2 linked regions of the Schizosaccharomyces pombe genome follow. The protein of the gene in region 2 binds, or shares a complex with, the protein of the main gene of each other region. Each region holds a gene or a part of one and is shown on either strand. Other genes may lie near its edges. The genes, in order: clr6 and pst2. A codon is read from its position in the direction of its gene.

Region 1 (4,854 bases), on a different chromosome or scaffold from region 2:
GCTCTACTGGTACTGGTGGTACTTTTGCCGGCGTTACCAAGTATTTGAAGGAGAAGTCCGACGGTCGTGTTGCTTCTTTCGTGGCTGATCCCCCTGGAAGTGTTTTGTATAGCCATATCAAAACGAAGGGTAAGCATCCTGACAACAAGGGTTCTTCATTTACCGAAGGCATTGGTCAAGGTCGTATTACTGGAAATGTCCAACCTGTTTACGATCTCATTGACGATGCTATGAAAATCCCTGACGAAAAATCTATTAACATGTTCTTTCGTTTGTTAGACCAAGAAGGTCTTTTCTTGGGCGGCTCTTCTTGCTTAAATGTGGTCGCTGCTGTTGAAATGGCTAAAATATTAGGTCCTGGCAAGACGGTGGTTACAATTCTTTGTGATTCTGGTCACAAGTATGCCACTCGTTTATTCAGTCGCTCATTCCTTGAAAGTAAAAAATTATTTGATGTAATTGAGCCACAATACAAGAAGTATATTGTACTTCCTTAATTGTTTTGACCTTTTACTTCGGATAGACATATAATTACTACTACCTTGTGATTTCCGTTTCTTCTTTCTTTGTGCGTTAATTTTTTGGCTATTCCTTTTTTTTTAAAACCACAAGTCACATCTAGAGTATAGAATATAAAGTGTTTGTTATTATATGTAATGAGCATTTTCAATTTAATGCTGAAGTCTAATTATGCTGGAGAATTCTTATAAATAAGGGTATTTAAACATAATAGCTTTTATAGTATTCATGATTCAAATAACACAAAAAAACCGAGTATAATGGATTCAAACACCATGAACATACAAAATTTTATATAGGTCTATACGCGCTCATCCATAATCTCTTCTTTCGCAATGTTCTGCTTTTCGGCATTTTCAAACGTAAAGTCACCGGGAGTTTCTAATGTAAGAGTATTTGTTAGCACATTTTTCGATAACCGCTTATACTTACTATGCATTTGAACGCTAGGTGCAAAAGATAAGTTTCTCAAATTTTCGATGATTTCAGAGCTAAATTTGGTCAGCCTCGTAAGAATAAAACTCAAAAGGTAGCATACGTTATCGAATCAAGATACTGCCGAGTGTTATGGTTTTCCATATTGTTTGAAAGAACATTGAGCTTGTAATCGGGACCGTAATATTGTAAATAGTCATTATAAGGAAGGTCTTGGATGGGTTAATAAACAATTTACGTATTGGTACTTACTTTCATCAAGCTCTTCGCCGGCTAAAAGACCAGTTTCATAAGTCCAGACACGGGCAACATTCCGTACAGTATATCCACCTCCTCCAACGCATATCATTGGCAAATTAAAGCTCTTAACAAAATCAACGCACATTGAATGTCCTGTTGAGGGGAATTAGTAAAAACGAGAAACAGTAGTTACTTACCCTTCATTGACAGATTGAAGCAGCCTAGTCGATCACCAGCGAGAGAATCTGTTCCACATTGTAAAATAACAGCTTCCGGTCGAAACCATTGCATTATGTGACTTATAACCTAATTCAGATTGTTAGAACAAAGAAATTTATAAAAAAGACTTACAGGCTTAAATACGCTTTCATAAGATTCATCGTCAATACCATCTCTCAAAGGAACGTTAACAGCATAGTTTTTTCCTGTTCCAATTCCGGTGTCCTAAAATATTAGAAAAGTAAATCCAAATATAAAGCCGCATGCATACCTTGATATGACCGGTTCCTGGAAAATATTCACCGAATTTGTGGAATGAACAAGTCATAACGCGATCCGTAGTGTAGAAAAATTCTTCTACACCGTCTCCGTGGTGAACATCAATATCAATGTAAAGAACACGTTGATGATATTTCAGCAATTCTAAAGCAGCCAACGCGATATCATTAACATAGCAGAAACCAGAAGCTTCACGTTTTTTAGCGTGATGTAGGCCTCCAGCCCAACTTAATTAAGTGGTTAGTTGATCTTCAAAGTACTAAAAAATCCTCAATAACATACTTAATAGCAATTTCTGCGTTTCCCGAGTTAAGTTCTTGAGCAGCACCTAAACCAATGTTAGTTAAAGTCCTATACTCCATTCACAAATTCAGCGGATGCTTCAAAGCCCCTTTTTTGGGAAAAACTTTTATCTTACCAATTGAACCGCCAGCAGAAATTGAACAAAATTCGTACAGCCCACTAAACAATTGTTAGTATAAAAAATTTGATAAACGCACATACTCAAAAACAGGACAATCATCACCGACGTTAACTAAAATCACGGTTATTTATAAATAATCGAAATGAAATCTTACATTTCAGCTGATGCGGTTGAAATTTTTCCATCGTGTCAGGTGTAACTCTCCAAAGAAATTCAATATACTCATCGGTATGACAACGAGTCATGTCATTCCTTGTTGCTCTAACAGGTGTCTTGTATACTTTATTAGTATAAAAAGGAGAAATAGAACTTACAATAACGTTCAACTTCTCATACAAGTTGTAATTAACGACCAGATTATGAACCTAAGTAGGTTAATGATGATAAATAGTTATAGCTTTATATCATACCATGCGAACGCGATGAGGCTTCATTGGATGCTGAGGACCATAGTGATAATTTCCAACATCCTCTATTTCAAAAATTAGCTAGGATCTTACTAGTTTACACGTACCATCATAGAAATAAGAAACCTTTTTCTTCCCGAACCCCATAGTTTCAAATAGGATTTTCTTTCCCAATTATTTAATAAGGCAAACAGTTTCCTTATGTTATCAATTAAAAATGTTAGGTTCGGAGCGCTTTCGCGTAGAATTGTTGCTATGATGGAGTGGTCAGAAGCTGAAGCAGCAGCCTGGTTCTATTGAATATTTCTCCCATCCACGAACTAGTGTTTCAAGATCTTAAATAAGTAACGATTAATTGTTCAATTTAAGTAAAATACTGTTATAACAAAAAGGACTAACCTTGGAATGTCTATTAAAATGTGCTGTATGTTTTTTTCAGTGACAGTTTTTGCATTTTCTCAAATGAGCAATATAATAATTCTTTCATAACCAATCCAATTAACAACGATCGTCAATGTCATTTGATGTTATTATTATACTACTCACCAAATGTTTACATCTACATAATCTAAATCTTGCTTAGTTTCCCAAGTAGAGTAATGTATCAACCAGATAATCATTAAAAAAGTAAATTCTGAATGCAGATCTTTAACAATAATGAAAAAAACCATAAATGCTATAATGATATGAAACCTTAAGAATAACCCTAAATACAAATCGTCGATCAGTATCATAAAGAATTTGGAAGGTCATCAAATAATAAATTTTAAATAAGGAAGAAGATAATAACGGTTATTTAAAATGAAATGACTGCTACCGTGACCTTTTGTAAATGAGCTGAAAAAACTTAGTAAATATACACTTTTTCAATCCAGTAGATTCATCAATCAAATCAATTTCTTTGGATATAGAATCCACCATGTCATCTTCAAATTTGTGATATAATTCAGGTATTTGAAGCTCATGATAAAGCTGCTTTATTACAGCTATGTTTTCAGACCCTGCTTTTCCATAATGAGCACGAAGAAGATTCAGCTGATCCGCAGAGGCAAATTTTTCAGCATAACAAACTAGCCATGTGCATTTATTGTCTTGTATGTCCATTCCCACTTTACCCAAAACCGTGTAATCACCGAAACAATCTAAGTAGTCATCTTGGACTTGGAAATAATAACCAAGAAGTTTTGAAAGCTTTATAGTCGTATCATACGCCTTTTGATTCGAATTGCGAGACAACAATAAAGCACATTTAATAGGAAGGTAAAAGGAATAAAATGATGTTTTATAAGTGATAATAAAGTCATATTTCATTAAATCAAAAGATCGTAACGAGGCTTCTCCGTCTCGTGATGAAAGCAAATCTTCTTGTTGCCCCAACTCGGTGAGAAAAGTAACCTTGAAAGTAAGCTTTTTAGTTGAATTTATTGTAACATACCTCTCGGAAAGTATCCAATAAATCGACATAGTATGGCATATTTCTGAAATACTTTCGAATTAAAAGTGGAATACATGCTTCTAGTAATTGTGACTCATTAATTGCCCTTCGTACACCAACTACCAAATACCAACAATCTAAACCACGTCGTTTGATAGACTGATCCATAATATCATCTGCCATTAAAAAGCAACCTTGCAACTGAACATCCGTCAGTACCCCAGTGATTTTACGTAAACAAATCTGAATTAAAAAACCAGTTTACTTACAATTTCAATTAGCCAACCTAGGAGAGCAGCGTCGCGAAATTCTGCTTCTTCAAGTTCTCGATTAATAAGGCTTGTTAAAGATTGCAAAACTGCCAGTCCTCGATTATTCTTTCCTCCTAACGTATTTCTCTTTATGGACTAAATGAAGGTTAGCTGTCGCGTTATAAAGGCAAGATAATCAACTTACATATAACAGCTTCTCGGTTTCTTCGGGGAAGTATTGCATGCTTTCTAAGATTTCACGAATTCCTTCGAGAACGACTGGGAAGAAATCTAGAAGTCTTTTCTTAATGCCATTTTTTTCATTAAAATCGTTGACCATTTTAGTATTTTTAATTGTACATGTATAAGAACCAGCTTGGTATAAGACTGAGAACTAGCACAGGTCTTCTATGAGAAAATATTATTTAAAATGACAAATAACCACAATTCTTGAATATAAAATTTGCAAATTACGCGTGAAAGCGCGTTACAAATTTATCTCGTTTTTAAGAATCAAGTATATCGATCAAAAACACTATACTTATTTGAAACATCTATTTGGTCCTAAATTTTCAAGACAATTAGGATGTTTATCTAATGCTTAAAGTTTAGTAGAAATATAGATTTAGGACTCCTTTGGTGGTG
Region 2 (6,394 bases):
AATATTTCCAAGCTTTAAATCTCTATGAATGACTCTCTTTTTATGCATATATTTCAAAGCTCCCAAAATTTGCATCATTAAATACCGAACCTCTGGCTCAGTTAATTGTTTTCGCTTACGTAAAAGTTCCATTAAAGATTTATGTTCACAAAGCTCCAAAATTAAGTAAATATTCGTCGAATCTTCAAAACAATCTATAAATCCTACGATGTTTGGATGACTCATGGATTGGTGCACCTTTATTTCTCCAAAGAGCTTCAGCTTTGTTTTATCATTTTGTAGTGACCTTTTAGCAATAACTTTAGCAGCGTAAATATTTCCATAATTATCTTTGACTCGAAAACATCTCGCAAAGCCGCCTTCACCAATGCAATCGTAGCGAGTGTAGAATATATTTTTTTTATTATTATGAAGATTAGTTGGCGGAGTAAAGCAAAGACGAGAGGCTTTGGACTTCTTCTTCGGGGTTATAGCAGTTTTGGGCTCTTTAATTGCAACACTCGCCATTTGGTATTTGTTTCTAACAAAACGCAGGTGGTAACTTTTGAGGGTAAACAAAGTGGTTGCTACGACAACCGCTTGTTTGTAAATAAAAATCTGTGCATTGTAATATTTTATGTAGTAATTACAGAAGTACGGCTTTAGAAAATTTAATACAAAGCTTATGTGCAAAAATTTCAGTAAATTCGTACTATACATAAATCCTTGAAATTATAAAATACCTAGAAAGATAAGTTATGTTAACAAAGTAATATAAAACTATTAAAGTCAAATTGTATTTAAGTAAATATGATCAATAGGTAGGTCGACTGCATTAAAATCATTATGGGATAAATAGTGCATTAATGTCAGCATCAAAATTCACCTCTGCCGTGTTGTCAGAAGTTCCCCTAACCGATTTTAATAACGATTCCCATCGATTTCTCCAACGCTGTTTTCTTTTATTCTGGCAATCAAGGAAGTCGGTATCTCTAAGGCGCAGGTAAGATGCATCTATGTAAGAATCTTCTGTGCGTGGTAAGTAGAGCAATTTAAACGAGTCTAAACATAATTTTGCTTGCAATCCGGAAACCAATTCTGCAGATCTTAATAACTTTGTTTGAAGGCGTGAAACCAATTGCTCAACTGTTCTTTCTTTCTCTATATTTCTGCAAAGAAAGGGACAACGATAATTTTTATAAGATATTTCTTCAGTAAGTTTTTGTATACGATAATTTTGAACATATTTTTTCCAAACTCGTCTCTGTGTATCCAAACTTTGATCCACAATAAGATTCGCTCGCTTCATTATTTTGATTCCAAATGATTTAAATTTGTTTATCCAACAAAATCGAAACAAAATTTCATCAGGATTCAAAAGCTTTTCAATTTCCAAGCGATAAAGAAAGTCATCATAATTCTTCTTAGGCGAAGCAGAACTATTTTGTTCGACTAAACTAGTAACGAATTTGTATTTTCCATCGGAAACGATGTGGTGGACTTGTTTAGCAGCAGACCAAACGAGTTTATCAATAGTATATATTTTATAGGCTTTATTGCCATAATAAAACCGCAGATAGTCCTCGAAGGCACTTTGATCAACTATCCCATATATTAATCGAAGAATCATCACATAAGTATTTTCGTAATGAGTTTTTTCATCAGGGACATCTGAAAGATCATTCCACCTATCGCGCCAAATCTTTTGTTTTTGAGATACTGGGTTTGGTATTATACGCTGTTGGATAATGGACACTTGATCCTCCAAACGCTGAAGCTCATAAAGCCTTTCGTATAATAAGTTAAAAAGTCTAAAAAATACGTACATAGAAGAATATCCAAACTGTTCTTTATCGACGTCGTCATGCATTTCATTCTCCGTATCACCAGCATGATCTTGATGTTCCAAAAGACTATCTGGATGACTTGGATATTTGAGACTGGCTTTAATGGCTGCAGCAGGTTGTGAAAGCTGTTTCTTAGAAACCGGCGTTACGTTTCCAGATTCATCACTTAAAGAGTTTTGAGAGTTAGATTGTGATTTGTTACCGGATTCTTCTTTTTTGCGAGCAGCTGCAGCTGAACGACTTTCGCGTTGACCATTGATTTTAGGTTGTTTTACAAATTCCGTCAACTGGGTTATAGAATTAGATCTTTTCCGACGTACAGGCTTGTTACCAACTATATTCGGGGCATTCACATCGTAATCAGGACCACGAAAAACTTGATCCAGGAATATCGAAAATTTATCCTTTTCAAGACCAAAATGTAAAGGCAATATATTCTTGAAAAAATGCTCAACTTTCTTTAAACCAGAGGGAGAGTTACATACAATGTATGTGCATACCATATAACAAGTATCAAAAAGTACTATTTCGTTGTCATATACAAAAGAAAATTCGAAAGCTGATCTACTTCGCAAAGGAAAATGGAGCTTCGCTTGCGATCGTAGAATGTCGGCTTCTGCTAAGAGAAACTTTGAAGATACATTCTTCTTATCTCTTGCCTTAAAATAAACGCATTGTGAATCTAAGCTCTTATCGTAATTTTTAAACTCAATACTTCGCCATCCAGGTTGAAGACTTCTTTTAACAGACTTCCACTCTTCGTTTTTTTCTTCTAATCTGCTGATTACCAATGGTAATGTGAGGCAAGGCATTCTTTCCAAGGCCTTAAACATTTCCTCTGCATGCTCACTGGTATAAACAAGCTTAATAGTTTTCTTGTATATACTTTTTGATGGTAAACCTAGCCCTTCCTCGAGAGTATATGTTTCTCTTTCCTCTTCCGGCAATTCATTTATACGGTTCTGAATTTTTTTAAGAGACTTGATTGTCCAGGAAGTAGCTTCAATATGCCGATCAAATTCATAACGTTCCTCTTCCAACTTTGTCATTGCCTCTTCATAAGGCGTTTTCCTCTGAACAATGAAACCGCTTTCTTCAGATGCCCAAGTTGGATGACTGACCCAGTCATCATTAAGTATACCCCATGCAAAATCATCTCTACCGCTGCAAGAAATATTGCGTTCTTCGACAGGAAGCAATCGGTAACTCGGGCCACATTCCGGGAAGTCTGAGCAAGCGGAATTGTATACAGATAAAAACTCTTCCGGACTCAAACTAGTAAGGCTTAAAAAGCTTCTCCAAAGTCCCGAATTCGATTTAAGAAACCCAAACCCACGACTCACCAGAATATTTCTATCAATTATCCCTTGAACGTACAAATTCAGGAGTTTTAAAAATTCGTGGTAAGTTTCTACATCGGTAAGTACATTTTTCACATTTTTGAAAAAGTCACTGCTCTCATTTGATAAATGTGAAAATGGTGAGAGGTTGTCCGGCCTTGATTGACTAAGCAAATCAGAAATATTACTCAACGTAAATTGGGAACTCTGAATTCCTCTTAATGGAAACGATCCTAGAGGAGGTTTACTCCCAAAAAAGATGGAGCTTGGTAAAAAGTTGTGAAACTCGTGGGCTAAAGATGGATGCTCCGCTAGCAAAGACGTTACAATAGTCTGAAGCTCAGAAAGCGAACACTCAGAGTTTTTAAACTTACGAAGACTATCCTGTAATTTAAAGAACTGTTCGGGATTGCTCAATAATGCTCGTCGAACTCGTGAAACAAATCCTATAGCTCTATGATAGGTACAAGGTAAGTCGTTGTAAGTAGCTACATAAGTAGACGGTGTAGAAACTGGACCAGATGGGGTGGTAAATTGCAATGTGAAGTTGGCACCGCTATTCGATAAAAGGTATTTATAAGACGAGGGCAAAAAGATGTTCAAATATTCTAAAAGATCTGGGTAATCTCTTAAGATTACAGATATTCTTTCAATAAACCCGGGAAAATCGACACTAATGTTCATGTTAATAAGTGAATAGTAATAAAAAAAGAGCTATCTCAAAGCAACTCAGTAAATAAGCCATATATACATTTCATTGTGTAAAGCCTTCACAACATCCATGAAAGCGCTATAAACATAAGGACGATGACACAGTCTTTGACCCAACTTTTGAACGAATGCCTTTATATCAAGCTCGGGGAGTGCGGTACCATTAGGGGAAAAATCATGGACTAATTGATTCTGCATCTCGGCCACTAACGTTGAGTTGTCTAACAACATTGGTTAAAATGAGTTATGTATTAAATTGATACGTACCATTTTTTAATATCGCTAGTGTTTGTTCCATGTATTTTGATCTTTAACCATCAAATGACTAGGAATACGATCTCGTTTATTTTGGAGGTGATGATTTGGGAAACGGCAAATGCAACTAAGCGCACAAACTCGTCAACGCATTACATGAACTGACGCTGATAGCCAAAGTTCAAATGATTTATCAAGACATGAACACAAATACCACATTGGATGGTGTTTTACACTTACAACGAATACTTTAGAAAAAATACTAACGAGAAGAATCAAACCCAATATAATTGTTAAAAAATATTCCTTTTAAATAATTAAACACTACATCTAAACATTATTTTCTAAGAATAATAGAGATTTAATAAAACCGAAACTATGCATCGTCTTCATCAAGAATAAGAAATCGAAAACTATCTACTTTCAAAGTTAAGTTGTCGACTACTTTACTTAAGTGCATTCGCAAAACAAACAACCAAGATGGTGAAATAAAGTTTTTAAATACGAACAGGAATGGCAGAAGAAATTACGCTTTAAAAATGAAACAAAGTAAACATTCAATATAAAATTTTACCTCAAGAATAAATCAAAAGATGTGACACAATAGATTAACCACGTTAAATTTATAATGTTCGCAAACTAAGACGAGGAACCTTGGTCACATAAAAGCGGATGATTGGCGAATTCTGGTTGAATGGTAACATCATATATACCAAAAGATTGAAGGACATTACGGATATCCGTAGTAAGCTTTGTATAAGACTCTCCCTTATCATCAGGAAGTGTAACGCAGACATGAACAGTGGCAATTAATTTAACGTCCGAAAGCTGCCAGATGTGGAGTTCATGAACAGATTCCACGCCGTCTAGATGATTAATTAGGTTGGAAACATCATCCAGTTTGATGCTTTGAGGAGCAACTTGTAATAAGATGAGAGCAGCGGATTTACAGAGAGGAATTGCGCTAAAAAGAATAATGAAAGTAAGAAGGATACTAATGCATGGGTCAAAGAGGAAACGCCAAGAATAGTCAGTATACTTGATGAATAAAGCAGCACTAATAACACCAATATTACCGAGAGCATCACCCAAGACATGAAGAAAGACACCATGCATATTCAAATTTCGTTTCTTCGTTTGTTTTGGTGCATCTTGTTCAATACTGCCATGGTTGTTGACTGGCTTTGAAGTACCAGCACCATTATGATTACCAGTGTAACTCAATAAAGGAGAAGATTCGGTAGCAGAGTCTGCGACTTGAGTGTGTGTATGGCTGACTTCTTGTTGACTGGTATTACAACGATGAACGATAGTCGAAGGTAAAACGGATTCAATATCATCTTCTTCAGGAAAATCGTAATTTTGAGCGGTATGGGTGTGAGGATGATCATGACCATGGTCATGAAATAAAAAGATACCAACGAAATTGCTTAGCAGACCTAAAGAACCAACAAAGAACATAAGGGTGGGATTGCTGACAGAAGGAGGCTCAATGAAGCGCTCTATGGCTTCCATAAAAATGAACATGCAAAGGGCAATGAGAAATACACCGTTCGACAAAGCACCTAAAATCTCTGCACGTTGCCAGCCATATGTGTATTTTGGTTCGTGAGATGTTGAATGTGCTAGACGAGTAGCCCAGAGAGCGACCAGTAAACTGACAATGTCATTTAACATATGAAATGAATCAGCAATTAGGGCAAGTGAATCGATCGCATAACCAGTAATAATTTCGATGAAGAAAAAAGTAACATCAATACCTAATAAAAGGATAATCCGAGTTTGTCTTGCGAGGTCGAACATAGTTTGAAAACGAAAAGTCACCAATTTCAAAAAAATGGTAAGGGTTGAATTTCACAGGGAGAAAAAGGAATAAGGTAAATTTAGAATGAAAGGTGGCTTTTTAAAAATGAATTTAAATAAAAGAGGCGCAAACTTGCTATATTTAACAAAAAAAAAAGCCAAAATAAGACGAAGATGCGAGAGGGTTTAAGAAAATCTAAAGAATCAAATATCTGTAATTTTGCTTTCCTTGTTTTTACAGAATAAATTAATTAAACCAATAAACCTTCAAAAAACTGCCAAAACTGCCGTTTTTGATAGTAAATTAAAAAGGAGGCTTTTGAGAAGTAAGCGGTGAAGAAAAAATAAAATCACACGTTGACTACTATTAGTCTGCTTTAACAAAGTTTTGTAAGTGACTGGCCACTAATCGCGTTTACCACAAAAGGAACTAACAAAGACTACCTTTTGAAATTTTCT

The links.
Region 1: the proteins of pst2 (region 2) and clr6 are in contact, whole or in part, in a cryo-EM structure (PDB 8I02), measured with the Schizosaccharomyces pombe proteins. Residues at the interface, in NP_593646.1 of Schizosaccharomyces pombe: Val132 (codon at 3,658), Pro139 (codon at 3,637), Cys140 (codon at 3,634), His143 (codon at 3,625), Ser213 (codon at 3,415), Lys214 (codon at 3,412), Pro215 (codon at 3,409), Pro216 (codon at 3,406), Leu217 (codon at 3,403), Gly218 (codon at 3,400), Ser219 (codon at 3,397), Phe220 (codon at 3,394), Pro221 (codon at 3,391), Ile225 (codon at 3,379), Gln226 (codon at 3,376), Ser227 (codon at 3,373), Ser228 (codon at 3,370), Gln229 (codon at 3,367), Phe230 (codon at 3,364), Asn328 (codon at 3,070), Ser329 (codon at 3,067), Asp333 (codon at 3,055), Glu336 (codon at 3,046), Cys337 (codon at 3,043), Gly338 (codon at 3,040), Pro339 (codon at 3,037), Ser340 (codon at 3,034), Tyr341 (codon at 3,031), Leu344 (codon at 3,022), Glu348 (codon at 3,010); in NP_595333.1 of Schizosaccharomyces pombe: Glu14 (codon at 2,631), Asp15 (codon at 2,586), Asn18 (codon at 2,577), Tyr19 (codon at 2,574), His20 (codon at 2,571), Pro23 (codon at 2,562), Gln24 (codon at 2,559), Lys28 (codon at 2,547), His30 (codon at 2,541), Arg33 (codon at 2,532), Arg55 (codon at 2,379), Asn59 (codon at 2,367), Thr62 (codon at 2,358), Arg63 (codon at 2,355), Cys64 (codon at 2,352), His65 (codon at 2,349), Thr66 (codon at 2,346), Asp67 (codon at 2,343), Glu68 (codon at 2,340), Asp96 (codon at 2,213), Asp101 (codon at 2,198), Gly102 (codon at 2,153), Glu105 (codon at 2,144), His138 (codon at 1,900), Lys140 (codon at 1,894), Lys141 (codon at 1,891), Arg142 (codon at 1,888), Ser145 (codon at 1,879), Gly146 (codon at 1,876), Phe147 (codon at 1,873).

What each region holds. Positions count from the first base shown.
Region 1 is NC_003423.3:848,689-853,542, forward strand, and holds clr6 (class 1 histone deacetylase Clr6), read right to left. Parts: upstream 2,789-4,854; 5' UTR 2,671-2,788; coding exon 2,631-2,670; exon of another isoform or gene 2,589-2,630; coding exon 2,527-2,588; exon of another isoform or gene 2,482-2,526; coding exon 2,431-2,481; exon of another isoform or gene 2,389-2,430; coding exon 2,271-2,388; exon of another isoform or gene 2,228-2,270; coding exon 2,197-2,227; exon of another isoform or gene 2,155-2,196; coding exon 2,111-2,154; exon of another isoform or gene 2,021-2,110; coding exon 1,975-2,020; exon of another isoform or gene 1,920-1,974; coding exon 1,685-1,919; exon of another isoform or gene 1,639-1,684; coding exon 1,546-1,638; exon of another isoform or gene 1,501-1,545; coding exon 1,392-1,500; exon of another isoform or gene 1,348-1,391; coding exon 1,207-1,347; exon of another isoform or gene 1,167-1,206; coding exon 1,058-1,166; exon of another isoform or gene 1,016-1,057; intron 1,011-1,015; coding exon 952-1,010; intron 901-951; coding exon 821-900; 3' UTR 657-820; downstream 1-656. Other genes in the region: cys11 (cysteine synthase), read left to right, coding at 1-497; spo9 (ER farnesyl pyrophosphate synthetase Erg20), read right to left, coding at 3,337-3,918, 3,959-4,159, 4,228-4,365, 4,415-4,549. UniProt on the Schizosaccharomyces pombe protein: Responsible for the deacetylation of lysine residues on the N-terminal part of the core histones (H2A, H2B, H3 and H4).
Region 2 is NC_003424.3:2,158,353-2,164,746, reverse strand, and holds pst2 (Clr6 histone deacetylase complex subunit Pst2), read right to left. Parts: upstream 4,262-6,394; 5' UTR 4,176-4,261; coding exon 4,145-4,175; exon of another isoform or gene 4,099-4,144; coding exon 3,918-4,098; exon of another isoform or gene 3,840-3,917; coding exon 824-3,839; 3' UTR 669-823; downstream 1-668. Other genes in the region: Polo kinase Plo1, read right to left, coding at 1-507; ER zinc importer, CDF family, Zhf1, read right to left, coding at 4,772-5,935. UniProt on the Schizosaccharomyces pombe protein: Has a role in chromatin assembly and chromosome segregation. Involved in the deacetylation of histones.